2 linked regions of the Drosophila melanogaster genome follow. The protein of the gene in region 1 purifies or fractionates together with the protein of each later gene. This does not show direct contact. Each region holds a gene or a part of one and is shown in the gene's direction. Other genes may lie near its edges.

Region 1 (5,505 bases):
ATTTGTATGGTTTAGTGTAGTCGAAGGTTGTATTTGGTTCGGAATGCGGTTCACTTTTGGCTTAAAACCATAAAGTTAAATATATTTCTTAAGTTCAAACCAATATTAGAAAGACAGATACGTACGTTAAAGTTTTTTCAGCTCGTTCTTTATAGTTCTCGAGTAATAAGCAAAAGGAGATTCCAGATATAAATAAGGGAAGGTTCCAGTATCAAGTGATCAAATTACTTGCAAAAATTGCTGATTTTATTTAGCCCTAATCGCATAAAATGTCAATCCTTTTATCATTTATAAACTTCTTCAAAAGCAGCACTCATGTTACTCAATTGGTCCGTTATATTTTCCAATTTCCATAATAGAATTCATCAACAAGAAGCCCCTGTTTTTTTCTAAAAATATGTACTTACTAGTTTACTTTATTCTTTGCGCACAGAGTGACAATTTGTTGAAAGTAGAAAAGACGCACGCATACAAATTAAGGTCGATTGGGTGGGTTACATTTTGGGCTTACAGCTAATGATGATTATGATTATCGGACTTGTTACTGTTCTCATTTCCACATAATTTTAATTTTCACTTTAATTCGAATTTGGAACCGTTTCCTTCACAACTTTTCGAGGGCTATTGCTTTCGTATAACACAACTCAAAGTTGAACTAAATCCACGTAAGAATTCAGAATGTCGGTGAAAACGGAAGCCGGAACACGCCTGTAAGCAGCACTTTGGATTGGATCAGCGGCTATGCGTGGAAGGTCTTCATCTTTTTATTGCGTCTACTGAAGTCCTGGTCGAGGTCTTCGTCGTCGGCCTCCTCGCTGCCCACTTCCTCGTCGCTGAGAAATTCGCTGAACTGATCCCCATTTGAACTCTCCAGTGCTTGTACTGGAAAGTATATAAAGTATCTTAGCAGGAAGTTCATTAATAACCTGTAGTAGTTAGTTGCTCACTCTGCTTAGCTATTATGTTGTTTTGCCTCTTGATCTCTTCGATGTCTTTCTGGTTTTCACTGATCTTCCGCCTCATCGTCTGTATGCATTCGGTGGTCTTTTTCAGGATTTGAGCTCGACTCGCCTGTAACAAAAGATATGTATTATTAACTTATTACTACTTCTTATTAGCTTCATCACACAGGGTGTGGATTTTTTTAATATATTTTATGCGATTTGCTTAATTTGACAAGCAATAATGTAGTTTATTGTAAAACGAACTGGTATGGACTTATGGGATTTTCTTGGCAGAAAATGAGCCCGGCTGTGTCACCTGTTGCTCTTCTGGATTACCTTTTCGCCCTTGAGTGTGGGCACCGCCTCACGCAGGTTGGTGAAGCTCTCCTTGATGTGATCGCGCCGCCTTCGCTCCAAAGCGTTGTGGTGCGCCCGCTTTTCGGCCTTGAAACAAACATTAAAATTAGCATATAGGAAATTCCATCGTAAATACAGCAGAGTATGGAAATAATAACAAAAATGGAACAAAATGGTCTCAAAGCAATATGAACAGAAAGATAAGTTAGTAAATAGTAATATATAATATATTCAGTCCCTCTAAGATTATTTTCGATTACGAATCCTATTGCTGTGAACTCTGCTGTATCGTAATCACGATTCTGTAACAGCAACAACAACACGTGTGCGTTCTGTTTATCAACAAAAGGCAATGTGCGCAGTCGCTTTTTCCCACTCAGTTTATGCATGATGGATAGTCACCTGGGTGAAATTGGCGGTGTTTGTGTGTCGCGAGGATCCCAAGCCAGTGTCCGAGTCCCCGTCCTCCTAAAAAGTCGTTAATTTGGCATTAAAATCAATATTAAACACACGTATCAGTATTTTCCTCTACGCCTTGCTTACGTCACTTTCGATGTCTATGTCGCGGTCGTCGTCGCTCATACTCATGTTGCTTCACTTGTTTTGCACGGATTGCGCGCAAATTAATAGATATTTCCTAAGATTATTCCACTAAGTTGGTAAGTTTTTTGTTTTTTGTGATTATTCCAAATAAACATGTAATTTTGTTGTTGTCTGCTCACGTTGTAAGACTTGCAGAGTGACCAAATAGAGGAATGCTAATAATACTTCAAACTTAAGTGGCACCAAAAGGTCACCAATATTATTAATATTTGATTTGTATTAAATACAAATTATATATATATTAAGCACAAATTCAATATTCGCTTAACACTCTTGTTTGTTGCAGATTTTTTGTTTATTCGCACATTTGGTTCAGTTCGAATACCGCTACTATTTCCGCCACACTACAGTACTCGCCAGTGTGACCACACTGCTCGCAAAATGCCAAAGGCAGCGGCAGGAGCAGCAGTCTACAAGAAGTTTTTGATATAGTTCAGACTTTTACTAGTTTATTTGATGGCTTTTCCCACCACAAGTGCCCAGCAAGCCGAGACGAACCGCAAGATACTCGAAGAGATCCAGACGAAGAAGCAGTTGCTCGCGGGCGGGATCATAAACCTTGGTCTGAGTCCGCCGAACCAGGTGAGTTCGTTGGGAACATGCCGATCGGAAAATGTGTTTACCTGGTCTTCTATCGTAGATGCCCGCACCCCAGTTGCTGGGACAGCCGACGACAGTGAATCCAGACTTCCAGGCGGGCGTGGGCATTGCCACCAATGCCACATCCACCGCCCGCTCTGCATTTAATCCAACGAGCTCTACGACTTTGGGCTTCTTTATACCTCAGGATTCGTATTTTGGAAATAGCTTTATACCCGTGCTGCCTCGTCTGGAGCCGCTGCCGTCGCCTGCGACCACGCCCACTACTCCGAACGCTCCGCCCAGCCACAGTATCAGCAAATAGCCGGATCCACAATGGCCCGGTTGAAGCTGAGGAAACTGGAGGAGTACCTGCAGGGCGTTGACGGTTTCGAGCAGCCCAAGATCCTGTTGGAACAGTACCCCACTCCGCCGCACATAGCCGCGTGCATGGCTCATCACATGCAGTCGCAGCACGAGGACATCGAGGGAAAGCTGGTGGGAGATTTGGGCTGCGGCTGCGGAATGCTCAGCATTGCTTCCACTCTGCTGGGCGCCCAGCTCACGGTGGGCTTCGAACTGGACGGCGATGCCGTGGACACCTTTAGGGGCAATGTGGTGGAGATGGAGCTACCCAATGTTGACTGCGTGCGGGCGGATGTGCTGCAGCTGATCGGCAGCAAGTGGGAGAAGTCCTTTGACACGGTGCTGATGAATCCCCCATTCGGCACGAAACACAATGCCGGCATGGACATGCGGTTTCTGGAGGTGGCCCTACGGTTGGCCAACAGAGCAGTTTACTCCCTACACAAGACGTCAACACGGTAAGTCTGTATAAAATTGATTATAATCGATATTCGTAGAGGAAAACTTAAGTTTTCTTGCAAAGAATGTAACAGGTAGAGGGAAGCGATTTCCGCTTTACAAAGTATATTTTTAATTAGGATTACCAGCCGTGTATAACCAACGTTTTGAAAAAATCTTTTGATATAACTTATCTTATTTCCTTTACAATTTCTATCCATATCTAAACAAAATTTGGAATTCCTCTCTAGCAATCCCTCTAGATGAGCGGCGTATCTGATATTCGAAATCTTGGTTATACCATTCTCTCTTGTTTAATAGTGTAGATCTCTTGGTTAAACAGATACTCAAGTAGTATGCTTACTGGTCTATATATAGGTATATATTTTAAAATATATTGATACTCAATATTCGGCATATGAATGTACATATGCAGATTTATACTTTAAGAATATCTGCTGGTATAAACAGATGCGCAATCTTTTGTTATTGGCACAGTAAACAAGAGATACAATTGTACCCGCTTTTCGGTAAATGTGCTTCCTTACCGCTGTTTCTGCTTTTGTTGTTGTTTTGTTAAGAGCGCTGCTCACAACTATAAAACGCCGCAGAAACACCAACAAGTTACAGATAGCAACTAGAAGTCAGCAGCAAGATGATCCTCTCACGTAGCCTTCTAATCATCACTGTGGTGCTGGCGATTCTTCTGGCCCCCATGCCCACTGATGCGCAAATCCTGGGCAGCGGCCAATGCCGTCTCACCCCCATTCGAGTGTCCGCTGGCGGGACAGTGTGCGAGAGACTGTGCTTCCGAAGAGACTACCGCGGTCCGCCCAGCCTTTGCCGCCGCATTCCCAGAGATGCAGTGGTTCCTGTCTGCGGGGGTGGTTGCTGCCGCAGCGGTCCCAACTGCCTGCAGCTGCTTTACACATAAAGTATGTGGATAAGATGCAGCACGTTCCATCAATAGTTTAGATTTTAGTGAGAAATTATGGAAATTAAATATTTTAAAATATATATGCTACTCATATTAAAACGATGAGTTCTTTAATTAAAAGGGTATCTTATTATTCGACCCCTTCCTGTTTTTTATGGAAGAATAGCCAAGCCTAAACAACTGTGGAATAGTACATCAAAGCCAATTTAAATATCGATTTTAATTGTTCGCAGGTCGTACATTCAGAAAAAGGCACTGGAATGGGGCGCCCGCGGCTCAGTGGTCGCCGAACTCCGGTACAACATCGACGCCAGCTACAAGTTTCACAAGCAGAAGTCGAAGGATATTGAGGTGGACTTCTGGCGCTTTGAAATCGGCACGGAATAGGAAGAATTATATCAGTTGCATTTAGTTTTGGACATTATATGTAATAGTATTGTAAATTGTAGCACATTAAAATTGATCGTATGTGTTTTCTACTCCACATTGAAGACAACACCCTGGGCGCAGGCCAATTCTCCGGAGTGATTGACTGTAATGGTGGCCCGCTTGCAATACTGCTTCCAGGCATCGGATCCGGACTCGCGACCTCCTCCAGTGGCTTTTTCGCCTCCGAAAGCTCCACCAATCTCGGCGCCGTTGGTGGTGGTGTTGATGTTAACTATACCGCAATCGGAACCCTTGGCTCCAATCCACTTGAACGCCTGCCCGATGTTCTCCGTGAAAATGGCAGAGGATAAGCCCTGTTCCACCTCATTGTTCCATTCGATGGCCTGGTCCACGTTTTTGGCTTTGAGGATGTACACAATTGGTGCAAAGGTTTCGCGATGGACAACGCTGGCATCGTGCGGCAATCCAGTGATCACTGTGGGCTCTACGTAAAAACCATCCCGCTGGATGACATTACCTCCGAAGGCCACCGTTCCTCCTAAGGATTTCGCTTCCGCGATGGCCGCCTTGTAGTTCTCCACGTTTTGTTGCGTGTGCACGGGACCCACCAGAGTTTGAGCTTCGAGCTGGTGTCCAATCTTGGAAATTAGCTGCTTATATTTACCAACCAGCTCCTTTACGAACTGATCGTGCAGCTTTTCGTGGACAATAATCCTCCTGGTGGTGGTGCATCTTTGACCACTGGTGCCAATGCAGCCGAAAAGTGCGGCGTCCAGGGCCATCTTCACGTTGGCAGATTCATCGATGATTAGGGCATTATTGCCGCCTAGCTCGAGGATCACCTTGCCGAATCTGCGCTGCACTTCAACACCCACATCCCGACCAGTTTGG
Region 2 (3,551 bases), 2.0 Mb from region 1:
CTGGCGGAATCTTGACCCGCAGACCTTCCAACGCAATTTTCATGCCGCACTCCATGGGCGACCACTCGGCGAAGGGTACCTCGCGCGTAGTCAGCTCCCAAATAAGAATAGCAAAGCTCCACATGTCACAGGCCTCCCAGTTTCGATCCGCCTGCTTGCGCTGCAATGTTTCCGGCGACATCCAAGCCGGTTGATAGATGCGTCCCTTCTCTTGGAAAGAGAATTTGGCATCGCCCATGTTGATTCTCGCCGTCAGATCATCGTCGATCATCACGTGATGACTGTTCAGGTGATATGTTGGAATAATGCGCTCCAGCGAGTGCAGGAAAGCCATTCCTCTCGCAACATCCAAGGCAAAGCTTACCGCCTGGCTGGTGTCCACCACGACGCCAGTTGCTCCATGCAGCAGGCTAAACAGCGAAGAACGTGGCATAAACTAAAGAAAATAGAATGGTTACCTTATACGGTCATTTCTGAAGTTATTTAAATTCAACGCACCTGACTAATTGTCACCAGATTGGGTGGCGAATTGCATGCTCCAATAATAGGCAAAATGTTAGGGTGCGAAAAGATGCGGAGCTTGGGAAACTCCTCGTTAAAATCTCGCGATATACGAGGCGTGCACTGACGCACGGCCAGGATCTTAGCTACCACATCGTTCTTTTGCCAGCGTCCGCGCCAAGTTTCTCCTGATGGCGTCACCGACAGCTTGGTATGCAGGTCTAGGTCTCCCATACTGATTCCCTTGAAACGGGACAAAGTAGCATCCCGGGATCTCGTCTTCAATCCCTGCCAGCTTTGTTCCTTGAAGCTGATAACCTTAACCTCTCTGCCGCTCTTTTCTACAAGATCCTGAAGCCTCTTGGCCAGACTGGGTTTGGCCTTTTCAAGAGGTGTGTGCCCGTCCTTGTTTGCGATTCCCACCTGGGCTCCCGCATTAAGCAGATCCTCGCAGATCATGTCATAGCCCCAAAAACAGGCGTAGTGCAGGGGGGTGTTTCCATGCTCGTTTACCGCATTCACATCGCTGCGCTCTTTTATCAACTGTAGAGGCAGATAAGTTCTTAAATAAGTTACCTAGCTGGTTTCTGTTTTATCTCACCATCTGGACCACGTCGCGGTGGCCATGAGCTGCCGCTAAATGGAGTGGGATGTCGTCGCCCATATTGGTGGCGTTCACACGCGAACCGCGCTGCAACAGAGTCTCCACAAGCTTGGCGTGGCCCTCTTTAGCCACCCAATGCAACGGGCTGAAGCCATGGTCGTCTCTAAAGTGTACGAATTTATTTGTTTTATTTATTTTAATTATGGTGGAATTTGAGCATTATAGACCTTATATACTTATGCTCTTAGAGTTAGGTATGGTCCTTTTTAAAGGATTATAAGACTAATTATAAGTAAAGAACAATATAAACATGGCAAGCGGGTTTTATGCTCGCGATATGCACACAGGCAAATATGAACATACGTATACTTATATATTTGATTCGTCTGTTTACACAACACAAGAATAAATCATGACGTCACTTAGACTTGAAAGACCCTCGAAATCTTGGGCGTATTTAGGCGATGACTAAGTAAACGTTCCTGGTAGAGGGGGTTGCTACTTGAGGGCTTAACTTTCTAAGTGCACTATAAAGCAACTAGAAAGTGATGGAGTTAGTTGCCTCTATTGGATTTACCCCAAATTGTTGTCGTGCTCCGTTTCATCCAACCAGAGGCGCACTTGAATCGAGTTGCCCTCGCGGCACCAGTGGAATATGTCCTCCATTTTTACTCCTCACTCCTTTATTCCGCTCGCAGTCACTGATATTATAGGTTTTCCAACCTAATTTACATCTAGAAACAGATTTAAACGCTTAAAATGCGACAGTTGTGAGAATTCCAATTAAAATTTGTGCAGTGTGGACGTTTTAAATATTTAACACACTGCTCGCGTTGCCAACTGCTGCAAAACATCGACAAGTGTGTATCGTGGTATCGATGACATACACCAATTGTGAATGTTTAAAGCAAGAAGAAGAAGGAATACAACGTGCACCGCAACTATTATTTAAAAACATTGTTGTTTACCTCATCTCTTTGTATTAATTAAACCATTACAAGCCCGAAAATGAAACTCAGCACATACAACTTCTTGACCTCCGTGGCCATCAAGGGCGTCAAAGTGGGATTTCCCCTGAAACTGACGGTGAGTTCCGGTGTCCCAAGTCCTGGCTATTGATTGTTTCACGGTCTATTTGTTTTTGCATTTAGATTAACAAAAAGGAAGTGGTGGAGAGCGAATTTAATCCAACTTTTGTGGAGAGAATCCTTCCCAAGCTGGACTGGTCAGCGGTCTATGGAGCTGCTCAGGTGGTAAGTGATAGAATGGTTCTAAAAGAACCATAGAATGGTTCTAAATAGTGTTACTGATTTCAAATTTACTGGTTTCAAATATTTTTAATCAGTTTTAAACTATTAAAACCTGTTATTTTTTATATTCGTTAATAATTGGAATTTGTTTTTTAGGCGGAACTCACAGAAGACATTCCTGCCGTTCAGCCTGAAAACATTGTGGAGAATGAACTGCTTTTGCAGAAGCTTCACCATCTGCTCTTCGAGATCGACGTGCTCGAGGGTCAACTGGAGTGCCCGGAGACAGGTCGTGTGTTTCCCATCAGCGATGGTATACCAAACATGCTCCTTAACGAGGACGAGGTCTAGATTACACCCATGTGCTTTTTGTACCATAATCCCCATAATCCCCTTTCTCCAGACGCGCATTAATATTAAATAAGTTTGTTAGTTTTAAAGTTTGTTTATTTACGAGTTACTAAAAACAATTGGAGCTTGGATGGAATGTGACTTCGTTTTTTTTTTTTTTTTTTTTTTTTTTTGTTGAGTCTACGTACTCGTGTGGTATTTGGTAGGTGTTTAAGGATAAGAGCAAAAAACACTACGACATATATAAATCGTAAGTCTGAACATGTGGAGGGTGGTGCTTGGCTACTAAGATTCATCTTCACTTCTTTGGCACTCTGGGGGAGGTTCCAGATGAGATACTCCCGCCTAGTTGCATTTGATGTTGGCGCTCTTGTTGCTGCCTTGGGCGTAGATGCTGCCCTTCGCCAATCCGGACTGGGGTCCTTTGCAGAGTTCCGATTTCCCACCCCTTGGCTTATAGGTGCGATCTGTGAGAAGACTAGCATTAGGTCCTTGAGTGATCTGCTTTTGAAGAAGCTTCGTGTTGGGTCCATTCCAGGTGACATAATCGGCTCTGAAAATAATTTTAATTATATTCATAGATGAGTCTTTGTTTTTATTACTTCGACATTAAGTTGAACTACTTACAGCAAAAGATTTTCATCTGCACCCTTGCTTAGCTGGGAATTGGGTCCCAAACTGGCCATTCGTTCGATAATAGATTGAAATTCAGCTGATTCCGAATTATGCGAATTTCCAAGGGAGTGCTGACGATGTCTGTTGAGAATTGGTTAAATTTGTATAAAAGTTCTTTTTATATTAAACTAAAATATTTCAAAGATTTAATATTTTATATTGAGCTTAAG

What was found.
Region 2: the proteins of Mettl5 (region 1) and Trmt112 purify together in Drosophila melanogaster (affinity purification with western blotting; one study listed by BioGRID). This does not show direct contact.

Annotation. Positions count from the first base shown.
Region 1 is NT_037436.4:19,262,137-19,267,641, forward strand, and holds Mettl5 (methyltransferase like 5), read left to right. Parts: upstream 1-1,629; 5' UTR 1,630-1,703; coding exon of another isoform or gene 1,704-1,769; 5' UTR 1,770-1,844; coding exon of another isoform or gene 1,845-1,889; 5' UTR 1,890-1,960; exon of another isoform or gene 1,961-2,048; intron 2,049-2,190; 5' UTR 2,191-2,360; coding exon of another isoform or gene 2,361-2,486; intron 2,487-2,544; coding exon of another isoform or gene 2,545-2,808; 5' UTR 2,809-2,819; coding exon 2,820-3,307; intron 3,308-3,924; exon of another isoform or gene 3,925-3,942; coding exon of another isoform or gene 3,943-4,221; exon of another isoform or gene 4,222-4,457; coding exon 4,458-4,611; 3' UTR 4,612-4,700; downstream 4,701-5,505. Other genes in the region: Max, read right to left, coding at 740-882, 948-1,071, 1,281-1,388, 1,704-1,769, 1,845-1,889; CG42374 (uncharacterized protein), read left to right, coding at 2,361-2,486, 2,545-2,808; CG45081 (uncharacterized protein), read left to right, coding at 3,943-4,221; Aldh7A1 (aldehyde dehydrogenase 7 family member A1), read right to left, coding at 4,701-5,505. UniProt on the Drosophila melanogaster protein: Catalytic subunit of a heterodimer with Trmt112, which specifically methylates the 6th position of adenine in 18S rRNA.
Region 2 is NT_037436.4:21,215,284-21,218,834, reverse strand, and holds Trmt112 (tRNA methyltransferase subunit 11-2), read left to right. Parts: upstream 1-1,995; 5' UTR 1,996-2,113; coding exon 2,114-2,191; intron 2,192-2,256; coding exon 2,257-2,358; intron 2,359-2,511; coding exon 2,512-2,706; 3' UTR 2,707-2,840; downstream 2,841-3,551. Other genes in the region: Ilk (integrin linked kinase), read right to left, coding at 1-436, 499-1,044, 1,103-1,268, 1,683-1,771; CG10508 (uncharacterized protein), read right to left, coding at 3,052-3,259, 3,334-3,462.